2 linked regions of the Elephas maximus indicus genome follow. The protein of the gene in region 2 binds, or shares a complex with, the protein of the main gene of each other region. Links are inferred from orthologs where the notes say so. Each region holds a gene or a part of one and is shown on either strand. Other genes may lie near its edges.

Region 1 (7,336 bases), on a different chromosome or scaffold from region 2:
TATGAGTTGGATGCTAATATCACTATTTTACAGGTAACAAAGTCAGAGTTCAGTGGAGTAATGTAGGTTTTCCAAAGCTGCACAGTTAAGTGCCTGAGTCAATATCCACATACACATATTTTATGTATCCACCCAACAAATGCATGTGGAACTCACCAGGCCCTATTATAGATCCTAGAGATTCAGTGTTGAGTAAGGCAGGCATGTCCCTGTGCTTAAACCCTTTACCTTCTACTACTGGGAAATAGTAAATAATAATGACAAAAAGCTTACAAATAAGTGAACAATAAAATTTCAGTTAGTGATATGCCCTATGAAGTAAAAGAGAGTGAGGTAATAGATAGTGACTAACTGAAGCTATGGAAACCCTGGTGGCACAGTGGTTAAGAACTGCAGCTGCTAACCAAAAGGTCAGCAGTTTGAATCCACCAGGCACTCCTTGGAAATGTCTATGGGGCAGTTCTACTCTGTTCTATAGGGTCGCTATGAGTTGGAATTGACTCGATGGCAATGGTTTTTTTTTTTTTTAAACTGGAACTAATTTAGACAGGTAGCTAGGGAAGGTCCTGTTGAGGAGGTAAAATGCAAGGTTAAATATAAATGAGAAGAGTCAGCCATGAGAAATCTGAGAGCAGAGGGTAAAAATGCAAGAACACACCTTATAAAACGAAAATGAGTTTGGCTTCTTCAAGGAACAGAACTATGGCCAGTGAAGACCCTGAGTGGTGCAAACAGTTAAGCACTCAGCTACTGACTGAAAAGTCGGTGGTTTGAACCTGCCCAGAGGTGTCTCAAGATAAAGGCCTGGTGATCTGCTTCTGAATGGCCACTGCCATGGAAAACCCTATGGAACACAGTTCTACTCTGTGTACATGGGGGCCACCATGAATTGAAATCGACATGATGGCAACTGGTTTGGTTTTTGGTTTGATGGCTGACCTATAGGGAACAAAAGAGAAACTGCTGGAGATGATCATCTGTCTGGCTGTAAATGCTGTTTTTTTCGTTTTTATTTTCCATAAAGCCAATCTGCCTAACTGTTCTGGAATATTCAAACTTCAAGGATAGTTAGTGTCCAGCTAAGGATATCAGATTTCTATGTTTATATATGAATCGCCAGAGAAGAAAATGTATATTAGTAATGGTATAACTGGGCCATGATTTCTATGTTAGTTCAATCAACTGTAGCAAAGTCCTTCTTTGCACCTGGAAAAGATTCATCGAAAGATTATCAGTATGTTCAAGGATATTTTCTTTCTCTCTATTTATATCCCATCAACTTGGAAGAGTTTAAATAATGTTGCAGATTTATAACAGTGATATTATCTCATACATTCTTCACAACACCGTGGATATGGAACAGTCTGGACTTTAACTCAAATCTCCTAACTATAAGAGAATAAATAAACATTTAAAAGATGAAGTCCCTTTAACCCAAAGAAATTAACGAAAATGTTAACAATAGATCCTGCTATTTCTTTTTAAGTACCAAACTTAACTCCTTCTTCATCATTCATCAGTAGCATCCAAGTGCACATTTGCTATCTTGTGACAGTCTAGGGCCGTATATTTCTCAATCCTAAAATTCCATAAGCCTCCCTAAGTAGCTCTCTATATTTTGGAACCTTTATAATTTTCATACGAAATTTTTATTCATTCATTCATTCATTCACTAAATAAGTATGTGTTGAGTATATACTGTTGTTGTTAGGTGCTGTCAAGTTGATTCCAACTTATAATGACCCTATGTATAACAGAATGAAACCACGCCCAATCCTGCACCATCCTCACAAACAGTAGGTATGTTTGAGCCCATTGTTGAAGGCACTGTGTCAGTCCAGCTTGTTTAGTGTCTTCTTCTTTTTCACAGACCCTCTACTTTACCAAGCATGATGTCCAGTTACTGTGCCAGAGGTTACAGACACAGAAGAGACAAATCTGACAATATCCTTACCCCCAAGTAGCTTATATCCTAGTAAGGAAAGTAGACGATAATGATATGATGCCAGATATTGACAGATGTTATAGAGAAAGATAAAGGTGGGTAGAGCGTTAGCTTTGGTTTAGATTTGATGGCAAGTAAAGATCCCTTTGGGCAGGTGACTGAATTAACGGAGTGAGTAACACATGAAGATAGTTGGAGGAAGAATCTTCTAGGAAATGTGCAAAGCCCCTGTAGTAGTAGGAGTGTGCCTGCCATTTTTGTGGAACGGCAAAGAAGTTACTGTTGGAGTGGGCAGTGACTAGTGGGGAGAATTGTAGAAGAGATAGCCAGGTGCCAGAACTTGTATAAAGCGTTTTGAACTATGATACGGTCTTTGGATTTAATGGAGCTGTGGTGGTGCAGTGGTTAAGAGCTCAGTTGCTAACCAAAAGTCAGTGGTTCAAATCCACCAGCCACTTCATGAGAACCCTATGGGGCAGTTCTACTCTGTCCTATAGTGTCACTATAAATCGGAATCAACTTGACAGCAACAGATTTGTTTGTTTATTTTGATTTTGGATTTAATGGTAATTTTGATAGGAATCCATTGAGAGTAGGCAGGGAGAAGAATTCAAAACCTTAACAAAATTATACGACTTAATGATAAAACAAGCCCTCTAGCTGCTATGTAGAAAACATACAAGAAAATTAAATGAAAAATTGAGTGGAAGCAAAGAGGCCCTTTAGAACCAACATGTGCCTCTTTGTGCCTTAGGCAGACCAACACATGATGACCTAACTAACCTCCCTCCCGAAAAAAATCAAACCCATTACCATTGAGTCGATTTCCACTCATAGCGACCCTATGGGACAGAGTAGAACTGCCACATAGAGCTTTCACGGAACGTCTGGTGGATTCAAATTGCTGACCTTTTGGTTAGCAGCCAAGCTCTTAACCACTGTGCCACCAGGGATCCAACTAACACACCAAAAAAAAAAAAATGAACCCGTTGCCATGGAGTCAATTCTGACTCAGAGAGACTCCAGAAGTCTAACATTTTCACCAAGGCTTTTTTCTGAAAACAAAATCTCTTTAGTCTAAAAAAACTGATATTAATGATGAAATAAATTTTAGGCACAAAGATTATTAACCAGAGTGGTACTTTGAGTCTCTTTCCCCCATTAAGTCAGCATTTATAGATATTCTTCATTCATTTTGCATTGACCTTACTAATTTTCCTGGATGAATTTCATAACACAGCAATGTCTCGTTTTTATAGAAATTATACTCCAAACATCTGGAGCCTCAAAAGGTATGTGAACAGAATAACCTAGAATCTATGCAGAAAATTAAAAAAATAAGTTATTACCAAGATGAAATAGAGGAAGTCTAAATAACAGTAAAATTTAACAAGAAAATGAAGCAGATAATTTAAACGATTTCAGAACACAGCGAGGAAGTTGTAGCCACAAACTTTCTATTTCCTGCGTTAAAGTAACTACTTACCAAATAATATTCATAAACTGGTGAAATGAAAGAACTAGTCCCCAGGGAATAAGTGAATGACACACTTCTGAAAGTTCATCATAGCTTCCTAAGTAAAATTCTTCCAGAATGAATAGGGGGATCCATGAGAATAGAGCCTTATCATACTTACTCAATGATGAATCCTTAGAGCCCAAACAGTGTCAAGCACATAGTGGATGTTTAAAAACTACCAGTTGTTAAGTGATGAGTGAGATTTCAGGCACTCATTATACACTCCTTCCCCCAAATATTTTCATCTCAAAGATAGGAATCTTGAAAAAAAATAGCAAAAATTAATACCTAGGATGATACACGCAGAATTGAACTTTATAATCAAAGGAGTCTGATTTACATTCCTAATTTTTAGTTCTTTACTTAGATTATGCTGCCTCCTAAACTCTTTGCTTTTACTCCAAATTTAAGGACAAGTACCTGGGTTTCTGGGAAAATCCCATTTGCCCCTCATGCTACACCTGCAATTGTGAGAAAGCACATTTCAGACAGCAGGGAAAGCCCATACCTCACCACAACAACATGCCGTAAACTGGCCCACTGGAGCGTAAGTTAAAGAGAACTGGCGTAATCGTTGAGCCAGTAGGAAGTAAGAGGAAAGGGGCGGAGACAGCATAAGGGAATATAAATGCTAAGATGATCCAAAGATCCAGACTGAAGAAGAGCTCCAGCAAAGACTTTCTCTGCAGATTGATTTAACCCAAGATTAACCAGGGAAACTTGAGCAGGTTGGAGATGAGCTCAGAAGATCATTCTACAACAGAGAACAGCTCCATGCATCTGGAGACAGGAAGACAAAGTAAGTCAGATCTAATTTCTTATATATTGATAATACATATAATATATAATGGTACATAGTTGGGGGGAAATGAGGCTTTGCCTTCTGGAGAACTTACCTTCTATTTCAGTCAGAATAGAAGAGAAAATGGGAAGAGGTAAATACTTCGGAGCTATGAGAAGATAGGATAGCTGAGAGTTGAGAGAAACCCACAACGGTGAATTTCAGAACCTGAAGGACCTTTTTCTTTATTTTAGTTTACATCATCTCAATTTTTTAGAAAACTAAAATTCCCTAGTCCAGTACTCTCTCTATCATTTTGCCATAGCCACCTATGCCCACTCCAGGGAGCACTCCCACTTCTTGTGGAAAATTCTATTTCCCACATAAGCAAATACATCTTTGATTGTCCTCCCTGTACCCTTTGAATGCTTTCTGTGTGCTTCAGCCCATGTTCTCATGACAGTATCCTCCAGTTATTGGAAATGTGCAGGTTTCCAACCTTTGAGAGAATAGCTCTAAAAAATATCTGAACACTCACAGTGCCCCAGTGGTAATTTATTAGGAGAATGTCATGAAAGAATTCTTAGGAATGCAATCTTCCGCTTCACTATTCTTTAGGGCCCTCTTTCCCTCCATTTCATCCTTCTGTTTCTCCCTCCCAAACACTGGCTTCAAATTCTGCATGAATCAGACATGTTCGTCATTTTCTTTATTTTTAATTAAAATCTGATCATCTTAGCTATATACCTTTTCTTCTCTTCTATCCATTGATTCTGTCAACATATCTCTTTCATAATTGAGTTTTTTTTCCTTAGCTTCTCTATACCTTTTTGCCATGAGGCTTTCTCAATTTTTTTCTTTTTTTAATCCCTCTTCTTCCCTAATAAATGAGGTGCCCAAAAAACTAGCACTGAAGAACTAGGGTTTACTTATAAGCAGGAGATATCTAGAAATAAAAGGGGTGTTAGAAAAAACAGACACAGAACAATGTAGAGAAAGGGATTGTTTTATGAGTGTGTGTCTATGAGACTGGTTTATCGTACAAGAGCATCAATGACTTCTGATAAACCTGTCTTTTGCCTAAGAATATAAATCCAAGCTTGGGCAACAAGGGCAAGGCATTAGATTTTTTTTAGACAATCAGATGAACAGTAACTTTACAGCTCAGTTGAACTGCCAAAAAGAAAAAAAAAAAATGATAACAATGAAACTATTAAATAATTAAAAAAGACCCAGTGCCGTCAAGTGGATTCCGACTCATAGCGACTTTTCAATTATGCTCTCTACTTATTATTCAATAAATAGAGAGCATAATTGAAAAATGTATCTACTGCAGGAATTTTTTAATTTCCTGAAATTAAGCAAATTTTTTGTTGAATTATTAGTTTACACTGCTCTTGTAGTTGCTTTTACTAGTATGAGCAACCCTTGGACACCATTCTTAGGTGATTCAGCAAGAAATAGGTGGATTTATTTTCAACTTCTCCATTAATGAATAGGACCCGGAATCGGAGAGGAAGCTTGCTGTCAGATGTTTTGTCACCCAGGTGATAAACCAAAGTGTGGGTAACAATAAAAACCAAACCAAACCAGTTACTGTCAAGTCAATTCTGACACATAGCAGCCCCATGTGTTACAGAGTAGAACTGTGCTGCACAGGCTTTTCAATGGCTGCGATCTTTCAGAAATAGATCACCAGACCTTTCATCTAGGGTGCCTCTGGGCAGATTTGAACAACCAACCTTTTGATTAGCAGCCAAGCACTTAGCTCTTTGTGCCACCCACTAACGAATATAAAGTGCCATCCTAAGAGTCATTTCTTACGCACTGGGTGAGCTGATGGGTTGAGTTAGATTCTGAAGGGCATGAATATTTGGCTGAGTGAGTACTTCCTAAGGAAATAGAGTTGTTGCTGTACGAAGTTCAAGCAGCATGAGTGACTCTCACATGGTAAGAAGTGAAACTAGACAGAGCTCTGACTTGCTACCCTATCAATGGCTGCTTCCGGTGATAGAACTAGATACGGTGAAGTAAAGTTGTCTCTTATAAAATCTGGATGCGGAACTATGCTTGGAAATAGAAACCCCAGAAGACACAAAAGTTGATCCTGACACCGAGTATATGATAATTTAATATGAGGGAGAGTAATACCTCTTAGCCCAGTTCAACTTTAAATAAATGTTTTAAGGAAACAAAATTCACGGATTTCAAGATGTATCATATATAGACATGCCTTTTAGTTATAACAGTCATCCATTTTGAGAACAGGGATGTTTTTGCATTTGCAGACTATTTTCATGGTCAGTTATAATGTTATTCAAGTAATATATTTCAGTTTTGAGAACATAATAGGGGATTACATTTTTCTTGTGAGGTCGGATTTTGTTTTAAAATCCTGATAGCTCATCCTTGCATATATCAAATTCAAAATATGTTACAAAATTATCCTCTCTCCTTTCTCAGTCATTTGCTTATATTTTAGAATAGATATCTTTCTTTTTTTATCTTTCTAGTTTTTTTGTAACTAAGAAACATAATTAAGATCATGTTCATATTCCACATTCTTCCAGAGAAATTTTTCTTAGTGGTGAAAGAAAACTTTGACTTTGTTTCACCATTACAGACCCAATATTTAGTCTATAAAACTGTTTTCTCTATTATTTTAACTTTTTTTAGGAAATTCATATATTTTAATGTTCATTCACAAATTTTAATTGAATTATAGTTTAATTTCAAAAAGGTGTATTTTACATACAATGAATGCACAAATCATAAGAGCACAGTTTAATGAATCATGGCAATGTATAACTATGACTCCAGTTAGCATGTGTAATATTCCCATCACCAAGGAATGTTCCCTTGTGCCCCTGCCTTTCTGGTTAAATAGGCCTTCCCACATACATAAAGGTAATCATTTTTCTGATTTTTATCAGCATAGCTTAGTTTTGCCTATCCGTTAACTTCATGTAAATGAAATTATAAAGTATATAGTCTTTTGTGACTAGATTTTTTTTAATTCATGTTGTGTATATCCGTTGTTCATCTTCCCCTTATTTTCTTAATTGCTAAGTAGAAGTCACTTGTATGGATA
Region 2 (8,244 bases):
TTATTCTCTGAATGGACCAAATCAGAGTCTTTAGACTCAAGAGCCCTGGTGGCACAGTTAAGGCACTCGACTGCTAACCGAAATGTTGGCAGTTTGAAACCACTGGCGGCTCCTTGGGAGAGACATGTGGCAGTCTGCTTCCTTAGAGATTTACAGCCTTGGAGGCCCTACGGGGTCACTATGAGTTGGAATTGGCAGTGTTTTTTTTTTTATTAGATGCAGGAGCACCTGGCAGCACTGAGTGTGTGTGTGGGGCTGGGGGAGTAGGGTTGGCGGACCCCCATCTTAGCGATTCAGTGCAAGTCTAACTACTGAATGATGAGGTTTTCCCTCTTTCCCTATTTCTCACACATCTTCCTCCATTCACTTGAAAAATGGTAGAAACCAGAAAAGGGGTTTTTAGAATTCCTCTCTGGTGAAAGGGACCAGCCCAGGAGTCAAGAGCTCCAGATATTGACATTTGGGATCTTCCAACAAAACAGTCCAGCCTAATCACCTAGTACTCCTCCACTGACAAGAGCACCTAAAAACAAATTTTTTTTTTTTAGTGTTTGGTGCCTCTGTCTGAAATATGAAATGGACAGCCAAAGATCTTCTGACAATTGGGAAGGTCTGACACAAACACCCGAGACCAAACAAACAGGAAAATGAGACAAGGAAGAAAAAAGGAGAAAATGTCACCACTGACAATAATAAAAAATAGAAAATAGCACCGTTCTAATATCCTCAGAGGTAAGTGAAAATACAGCAACACGGTTCTATAGAAAGGGAACATTCAGAACAGAAAAAGAGAACATTTGGAAATTAAAGGTAGGAGAGAGAGCAGAGATGGAAATATTAACTGAAGATTTAAAAGGGTTGAACAAAAACATAAAGATTTAGGAAATCAAAAATAAAATACAAGAAAATGAAAGAATCATCCCAGATGATCCGTAATCTGAATAGTGGGAGTTCTAAGTACAGAGAATAGAGAAAATAGAGAAGACCAAGCTGTCAAAGGAATAATTTCAGATAATTTCCCAGAACTGTAAAGGGCTTCTTATATGTTCAGGAGAAACTTGGAAAATCAAGGCATATCATTGCACAATTTTGGAACACTGACAAGAAAGTGAAGATTCTATAAACATCTACAAACAAAAACAAAAAAAAACCCCAGTGCCTAGAGAAGAAAAAAGTCATATGTGAAGTTTTGGAATTAGAATAGCCTTGAACTTTATGTTAGTAGCATTAGAAGTTAAAACATTAGGGAATAATGCCTTTAAAATTCCTAGGAAAAATTATTTATAACCTGTAAATCTATGTTGTTGTTGGTAGGTGCCGTCAGTTTGGTTCTGACTCATATAAACCTTATGAACAACAGAACGAAACACTGCCCAATCCTGTGCCATCCTCACAATCACTGTTTCGCTTGAGCTCATGGCTCTGGCCACTGTGTCAATTCATCTTATGGAGAGCCTTCCTCTTTTTTGATGACCCTCTTTATTTTACCAAGCATGACGTTCTTTTCCAGGAACTCATCCCTCCTGATAACATGTCTGAAGTATGTGAGACATAGTCTTGCCATCCTTGCTTCTAAGGAGCATTCTAACTGTACTTCTTCCAAGACAGATTTGTTCGGTCTTTTGGCAGTCCATGGTACGTTCAATATTCTTCTCCAACACCACAATGCAAAGGCGTCAATTCTTCTTTGGTCTTCCCTATTTGTTGTCCAGCTTTTGCGCGCATATGAGGTGATTGAAAACACCATGGCTTGGGTCAGGTGCACCTTAGTCTTCAAAGTGACATCTTGCCTTTTTAACACTTTAAAGAGGCCTTTTGCAGCAGATTTGCCCAGTGCAACCTGTCTTTTGATTTCTTAATTGCTGCTTCCATAGGTGTTGATTGTGGATCCGAGTAAAATGAAATAAATATATACTTAGCCAAAATATTAGTCAAGTGTAAGTATAAAATTTTTAAAATATCTTACATGCAAGTATTTAGAAAGTTTATACCACAAGTGTGTTTCTTAAGGGTAAGTAAATATTCCTTCAGCTTGGGCAGAGAATCTATAGATAGTGTCTAAAATTGATAATCAGGAAAGAGAGGTGTTAACATGGGATTTAGAGATTTGAAAGTAACCACCAGAAGAAACACCAAAAAGTCTTAAAAGCGATTGGGAGAAACCTCTGAAGACATAATAATTTTCTACGATAATAGCGCCCCCCCCTTATCTGCAGGGAATACATTCTAAGACCCCCAGTGGATGCCTGAAACCACGGATAGTATCGAACCCTGCATATGCTATGTTTTTTCCTAAACATACATACCCATGATAAAGTTTAATTTATAAATAGTAAAATGCATAGTAAGAACTTAGCAACAATAATTAATAATAAAATAGAAGCACTTTATGGCTTTTCTTTGGCATATCCGAATTGCCAGCATCACTACTCCTGCATTTTGGGGCCATTATTAAGTAAGATAAGGGTTACTTGAACACAAGCACTTTGGAACATGGTTGTCTGTGGGTAACTGAAACTGTGGAAAGTGAAATCTTGGAAAAGGGGGACTACTATATTTGATTTTTGTTTTTTTAACCATGGGCATGTGTTATTTTGGGGAAAAAATTTTGAAAATCAAAAAGAGAAGTGAATGGAAAGATGCAAAGTGAGATAATGAAAGTAATGAGTGTAATAGAGTTAGAAATAGAAATGAGACCCTGCATAGCACAAAAGGTTAAGTACTCAACTACTACAACTGAAAGGTTGGCGATTTGAACCCACTCAGAGGTGCCTTGGAAGACACATCTGGTTATCTGCTTCTGAAAAGTCACAGCCTTGAAAACTCTACAAAGCAGTTCTACTCTGCACACATGGGGTCTCCAAGAGTCAGAGCTGACTCAATGGCAAGTAACAACAACAACAGAGATAGAGGTGGTGGGAGGGTACGACGCTTACTCTGTACTGTAATGGACACTTTGTATGTATGAAACTCTTTAATGTTCACAATGACTGAGAGAGAGAAATATCATCACATCTTTTTAGAGACGAGGAAATTGAGGGTCAAGGAAGTGAAAGGAATTTGCTCAAAGTCATACAGCTAGGAACTATCAGTGTTAAGCCTGAACTGAAGCTTGTCTGGTTCCGAAGCTGGATCATGTTGCGCTACACTATTTGGGATGTTGGCAAACAAGAGAAGTGAGAGACAAGGAACCAATTTTGTGGAGGAAGACAGTGAGTTTTAGTAGAGGAGACACATAAACATTCAGGTAAGCTGAAGATAATGCCATCAGAGGTCAAACATTGATAGAACAAGAGAGAAGGAATAATTGAGCTTGGGCATAGAAAGTTTGGGGGAAGTGGCATGATGATAAGAGGCAAGAGTTTGCCTTGGGAAAGAGGAAAGCCGCTTTTACTTCTGAAACTGGACAATTGAGCTGGGAGCCATGACATGGCAGTATTGAAGTTCTGGAACCCAGTTTTACCCGTAACTAGCTGGGAGAGCTGCAAGTCATTTTAGCTGTCTGAGTGACACTTCCCTCATCAACAAAGTGGCCAGTAATGTTTGTTTCAAAGGGCTAACTAAACCAGTTGTTACCATTGAGCGGATTCTGACTCATAGCAACCCTATAGGTCAGAGTAGAACTGCCCAATAGAATTTTCAAGGATCAGCAGTTGGATTTAAACTGCTGACCTTTTGGTTAGCAGCCAAACTCTTAACCACTGTGCCACCAGGGCTCTGCTTTGAGGTGCAGTAATGTTAAATTAGATAATCTCTCACAGTGCCTGATACAGTCTGAGAGTGCAGGTCACTTTAATACCTTAGCCTTTAAACAATGAATAAATTAGTGTGTGTGTGTGGCGGCGGGGGGGGGGGGGGGCGGTGGTTTCCAGGTGCCCACTTTATGTTGTTTTGTGTAGGCACAACAAGCTTCTCCCTTTAAATGAACGAAGTCCTCAAACCCCTAGGGCCACTCATCATATTCTGGAGTCTAGAAGACCATAACCTTAGTTTCTGTGTAGTACATATGCATAATACTGTCGTTGAATTTGTGGCTATATATATGCTGAGTGTGAAATCCTTGATGAGGGCTTTAAGGCAGCTGTGATTAACCGTCACTTAATTTTTTTTGCAAACTCATAAGATCTAAGAAGCCAGGGGTCTGTTGTTTATTCATTCAGCATCCTTCTGAGTCATTCAGGTACAGGGTGTGTCATCCTTGAAACTGCACAGGGAGGAGGTTTTGCATTCACATCTGTCGGGAAGGGCGAGCAGGGACTGGGTGGAAACAGCCTGTAGCAGTACGGCAGGGGCAGAAGTGTCTTGCCATTACCACTCAGGTGAATTTGACCAAGGGCGCCTCTCAGCCTCAAGTTCTGAAGTAGCATATCAGCGAAAGGAAGGGGTGGGGGAGCATCAAGTTTGGGTGGTCTCTGAAGTCACCTCCCGGGTAGCAAGGGGGAGAAGGGCGCGGACATCCAATTGGGCATCTTCAGGCGCCGGATGGGCCGGGCAGCTCTACCCCTTTGGAAATTCCTCAGCTGCCCAAGTCACCGGCTCTTTAAATCTCCCAGAAACCGGCAGCAACCCCCCTTCTCAAGGGCCTCACCAGTGACCAGAATCCCGGACACAGGGTCTGACTTTGTGTCAGACTGAATTGAGTGAGGGGAGCCCCCGCCCCAATACCCCAGTACCCATTTGACTGTGTGCCCCGCGAAAGCCACTTTCTGCCCATCCGACCGCAAGTTTCCGGGCAGCGCGGGGACTGGAGGTTGGGGGTGGAGGAAACTTTCTGCCCCTTCTCCCTCCGGGGTTACTGGCCTCCTTCATCTCTCTAGCAGCCCCTTCCCAGCCTCTCTGGGCTTATTGGGCGAGTGCTCGGGTTTCTCCTCCTCGCGCAGAGGCGCCCTCGGGGGCGCCGGGTTTTCATCTTTGGTCTCGTATCCCCTGAGGGCCGAGGGGATGGGGGACAAGGGAGGTACGCTGGGAGACACCGGATCGTCCTCGGCACTCTAAGACTTCCCGGGAGAAAAGTTTCCAAAGGCTCTTCACCTCCTCCCTTTTCCAAAGCTGGAGAGAAGCCTCTCCACCGCCCGGGAGCGCCCGATGGCGGGACAAGGGCGGTGATTTATACATTAGAATCCAGGGGGCACCAGGCTCCGCCCCTTTTGGTTTTTTTTCTTTTTTTTATCTCGGTTGCCGGAGGGGGAGGAGGAGTTCTTTTTTTTTTTTGTTACTTCTGCCCCAGATCTTTCCTGGACAGTGTCTCAGCAGCCGAGCTCCGGAGGGCCCCAGCTACTGGCGGAGGGCGTGGGGGGCTGAGGCTTTAACCCCTCCCGGTGCCTTCGGAAAGAAGCCACCCAGTCTGGGCGCGGCGCTCGGCCGCCTGGCCTCGCTGGCCAGCACGGGCCGCAGGAGTGGGGCTGGCCATTGGAGTGCGAGGCTGCGGAGGGAGGGGACCCCGGCTCCAGTAAGTTGGCCAGAGCTCGACGCAGTCGGCGGCAGCAAGATGCCGAGCGCGCAGGGCAGACCCGGAGCTCTCCGAACGCAACTCCGTCCTGCCTGAGCCAGGTAGGGGGCTGCGAGCCGTGCGCCCGGGGCGCGGGCAGGCTGGGCGCGGGGAGCGCTTCGGAATCAGAAGGGCATTTTAAGATGGAACGAAGCCAAACAAAAACTTTGAAACCCTACGTCTTTGGGAGCTGAAAACGTGTATCCCTGGCTACTAAGGAGCCCCACCCGATCAGATTGTTCTTGGGACTTTTGGGGATTTATGGAGTTTGAAGAAGGGTTAAGTTCCAGTGGTAGAGCCGACTGGGACTGAGAGGTGGAAGCTACGGTTGGTCGGAGAAGAGGGAGTTAGTTTTGGAAATCCTATAGACAAAGAATATTGGCGGGGGGTTGCGGGGGATGGCTTTAAACTTGCACTGCCCGCGAGCAGGGTGCTGAATTCGATGGGGGAAATGCAGAGCTTCTTGGCGCGAGAAGTCTTTGCTGTCCCAGGAATTGCTGCGGTTGTTCTCGCCTCTGTTAACGGCCCTTTTATCACCATTGCCGCGTGACCTTGAAACATTTAAGCAGCTTAATAGTAGAGTTCTGTTAAAAAAAAGTGCTGTGTTTCGTTACCTCCACACTTTCTAGTTCTGTGAGAAGAGGCGACGTGTTGAGGGAGAACAGTCCCTACAGCTACCCATGCTTGCTTAGCCGTGCACCGGACGTACGTTTTTGTGAGTTTCTGGGGAGTAGTTATGCCCTCAAATCAGGAATGTGGAGGCCGGTATTTTTGTCGTTAGTAGTATAACTTCTCTCTTTTGTGTGTGTCTGTGTTTGTGTGTGTGTGTGTGTTATTTTGACCGTGCCCACGATAACTAAAAGTACCCCTTATGCAATCACTTAATATTTGGAACTTCTGGGATGGATTGCAGTCTCTTTCTTATGAATGGTTTCCACTGAGTTCTTTTAAAGTCACTTGCACTAGCTTGCGAAAAAAAGAGAGAATAGGCAGTTGCTTCTCGGAGGCACTGAGCTTTCCTGTTTACCCAAGGCCAGGCAGGGCTTGGCTGCCCACACCTCACTGCGTCCTCGGACCCAGGGCGGTGAGCAGACCCTGCACACCTGCTCCTAGAGAGTTATTAATAGAGCCCAAAGAATGACTTACGCCGTCAAATGATTTTCGTGCATGGCAATTAGGAGGTGGTGCTCCTCTCTTTTAGCTGAAGGAAGGGAAGGCAGAGGTGTGCGTCTCCGCCGTCAGATTCGCGGTTAGGTCTCTTCCGAGGAAAGACCATGAGCTGGCGGTGAGTGCATAGCTAAGCCAGGGGATTTTTCAGAAAATCTTCGGGCTGGAAATTAGGGAGCGACGGGGCGGAGTGGAGTTAGAATGGGGCGTGCTTCTCCAGATTTCCCTTTTCCTTTTGAGTGGATGCGACCGACCAAAGGGAGAATCTGCGTCTTGTCCAGTTGACGTTTACAGCTGGGGTTAATTTTTGTTTTTTTTCTCTCTCTCTCCCTTTTCCATTTTTTTGCAAGAAGCGAAAATTTGATTTTTTTTTTAATTCCATTCCCTGCACTCTCCCTGAGTTTCTTTAAAACAAATCAACTAACTATTGGCGCAACGTTTTAGCTAGAGTGAATTATGCCAGTGTGATGTGGCTTTTTTTCCTGACTTTCTCCTCTTTGTGATTTGTTTAAGGCTGCGGTTTCCGAGGCCCCCTCAAGCCAAGGAAAAGCAACACAAAAAGCCTGGATCTCTCCCACTGAATCCCCGGGGCAGCCAGTGACGGCTCTCTCCACCTGCCCTCTAGCGGCGGCTGGGAGACTTGCCACCCCAGGGTTCCTGTGGACACAGCGCGGCACCATGGGGTCCGCCAGCATCCAGCACCGCTCCGACTATGTCAACCATGACATCATCATCCTGCATTACAACTACACCGGAAAGCTGAATATCAGCGCCGACAAGGACAATGGCATTAAACTGACCTCGGTGGTGTTCATCCTCATCTGTTGCTTTATCATCTTGGAGAATATCTTCGTCTTGCTGACAATTTGGAAAACCAAGAAGTTCCACCGACCCATGTACTATTTTATTGGTAACCTGGCTCTCTCAGACCTGTTGGCAGGAGTGGCTTATGTAGCCAATCTGCTCTTGTCTGGGGCCACCACCTACAAGCTCATCCCCGTCCAGTGGTTTTTGCGGGAAGGGAGCATGTTCGTGGCCCTGTCTGCCTCTGTGTTCAGCTTGCTAGCCATTGCCATTGAGCGCTACATCACCATGCTGAAGATGAAACTCCACAATGGCAGCAACAGCTTTCGCTCCTTCCTGCTCATCAGTGCCTGTTGGGTCATCTCTGTCATCCTGGGCAGCCTGCCCATCATGGGCTGGAATTGCATCGGCATGCTGCCCAGCTGCTCCACGGTGCTGCCGCTCTACCACAAGCACTATATCCTCTTTTGCACCACGGTCTTCACTCTGCTCCTGCTCTCCATCGTCATCCTATACTGCAGGATCTACTCCTTAGTTAGGACTCGTAGCCGCCGTCTGACCTTTCGCAAGAATATTTCCAAGGCCACCCGCAGCTCTGAGAAGTCACTGGCGCTGCTCAAGACGGTGATTATCGTCCTGAGCGTCTTCATTGCCTGTTGGGCGCCCCTCTTCATCCTGCTCCTGCTAGACGTGGGCTGCAAGGTGAAGACCTGCGACATCCTCTTCCGAGCTGAGTACTTCCTGGTGTTGGCTGTGCTCAATTCTGGCACCAATCCCATCATTTA

The links.
Region 1: the proteins of S1PR1 (region 2) and early activation antigen CD69-like are in contact, whole or in part, in a cryo-EM structure (PDB 8G94), measured with the Homo sapiens proteins. The link is inferred for Elephas maximus indicus from reciprocal best matches to the Homo sapiens genes S1PR1 and CD69. Residues at the interface, in NP_001307659.1 of Homo sapiens: Asn157, Leu160, Phe161, Ile164, Ser165, Trp168, Val169, Leu172, Ile173, Gly176, Ile179, Met180, Gly181; in NP_001772.1 of Homo sapiens: Val41, Ala44, Val45, Val48, Val49, Thr52, Ile53, Ile56, Ile59, Ala60, Val63.

The regions. Positions count from the first base shown.
Region 1 is NC_064822.1:66,876,497-66,883,832, reverse strand, and holds the start of early activation antigen CD69-like, read left to right. Parts: upstream 1-4,095; 5' UTR 4,096-4,199; coding exon 4,200-4,263; intron 4,264-7,336. UniProt on the Homo sapiens protein: Transmembrane protein expressed mainly on T-cells resident in mucosa that plays an essential role in immune cell homeostasis.
Region 2 is NC_064821.1:181,276,282-181,284,525, reverse strand, and holds the start of S1PR1 (sphingosine 1-phosphate receptor 1), read left to right. Parts: upstream 1-5,198; 5' UTR 5,199-5,550; intron 5,551-6,532; exon of another isoform or gene 6,533-6,773; intron 6,774-7,168; 5' UTR 7,169-7,333; coding exon 7,334-8,244.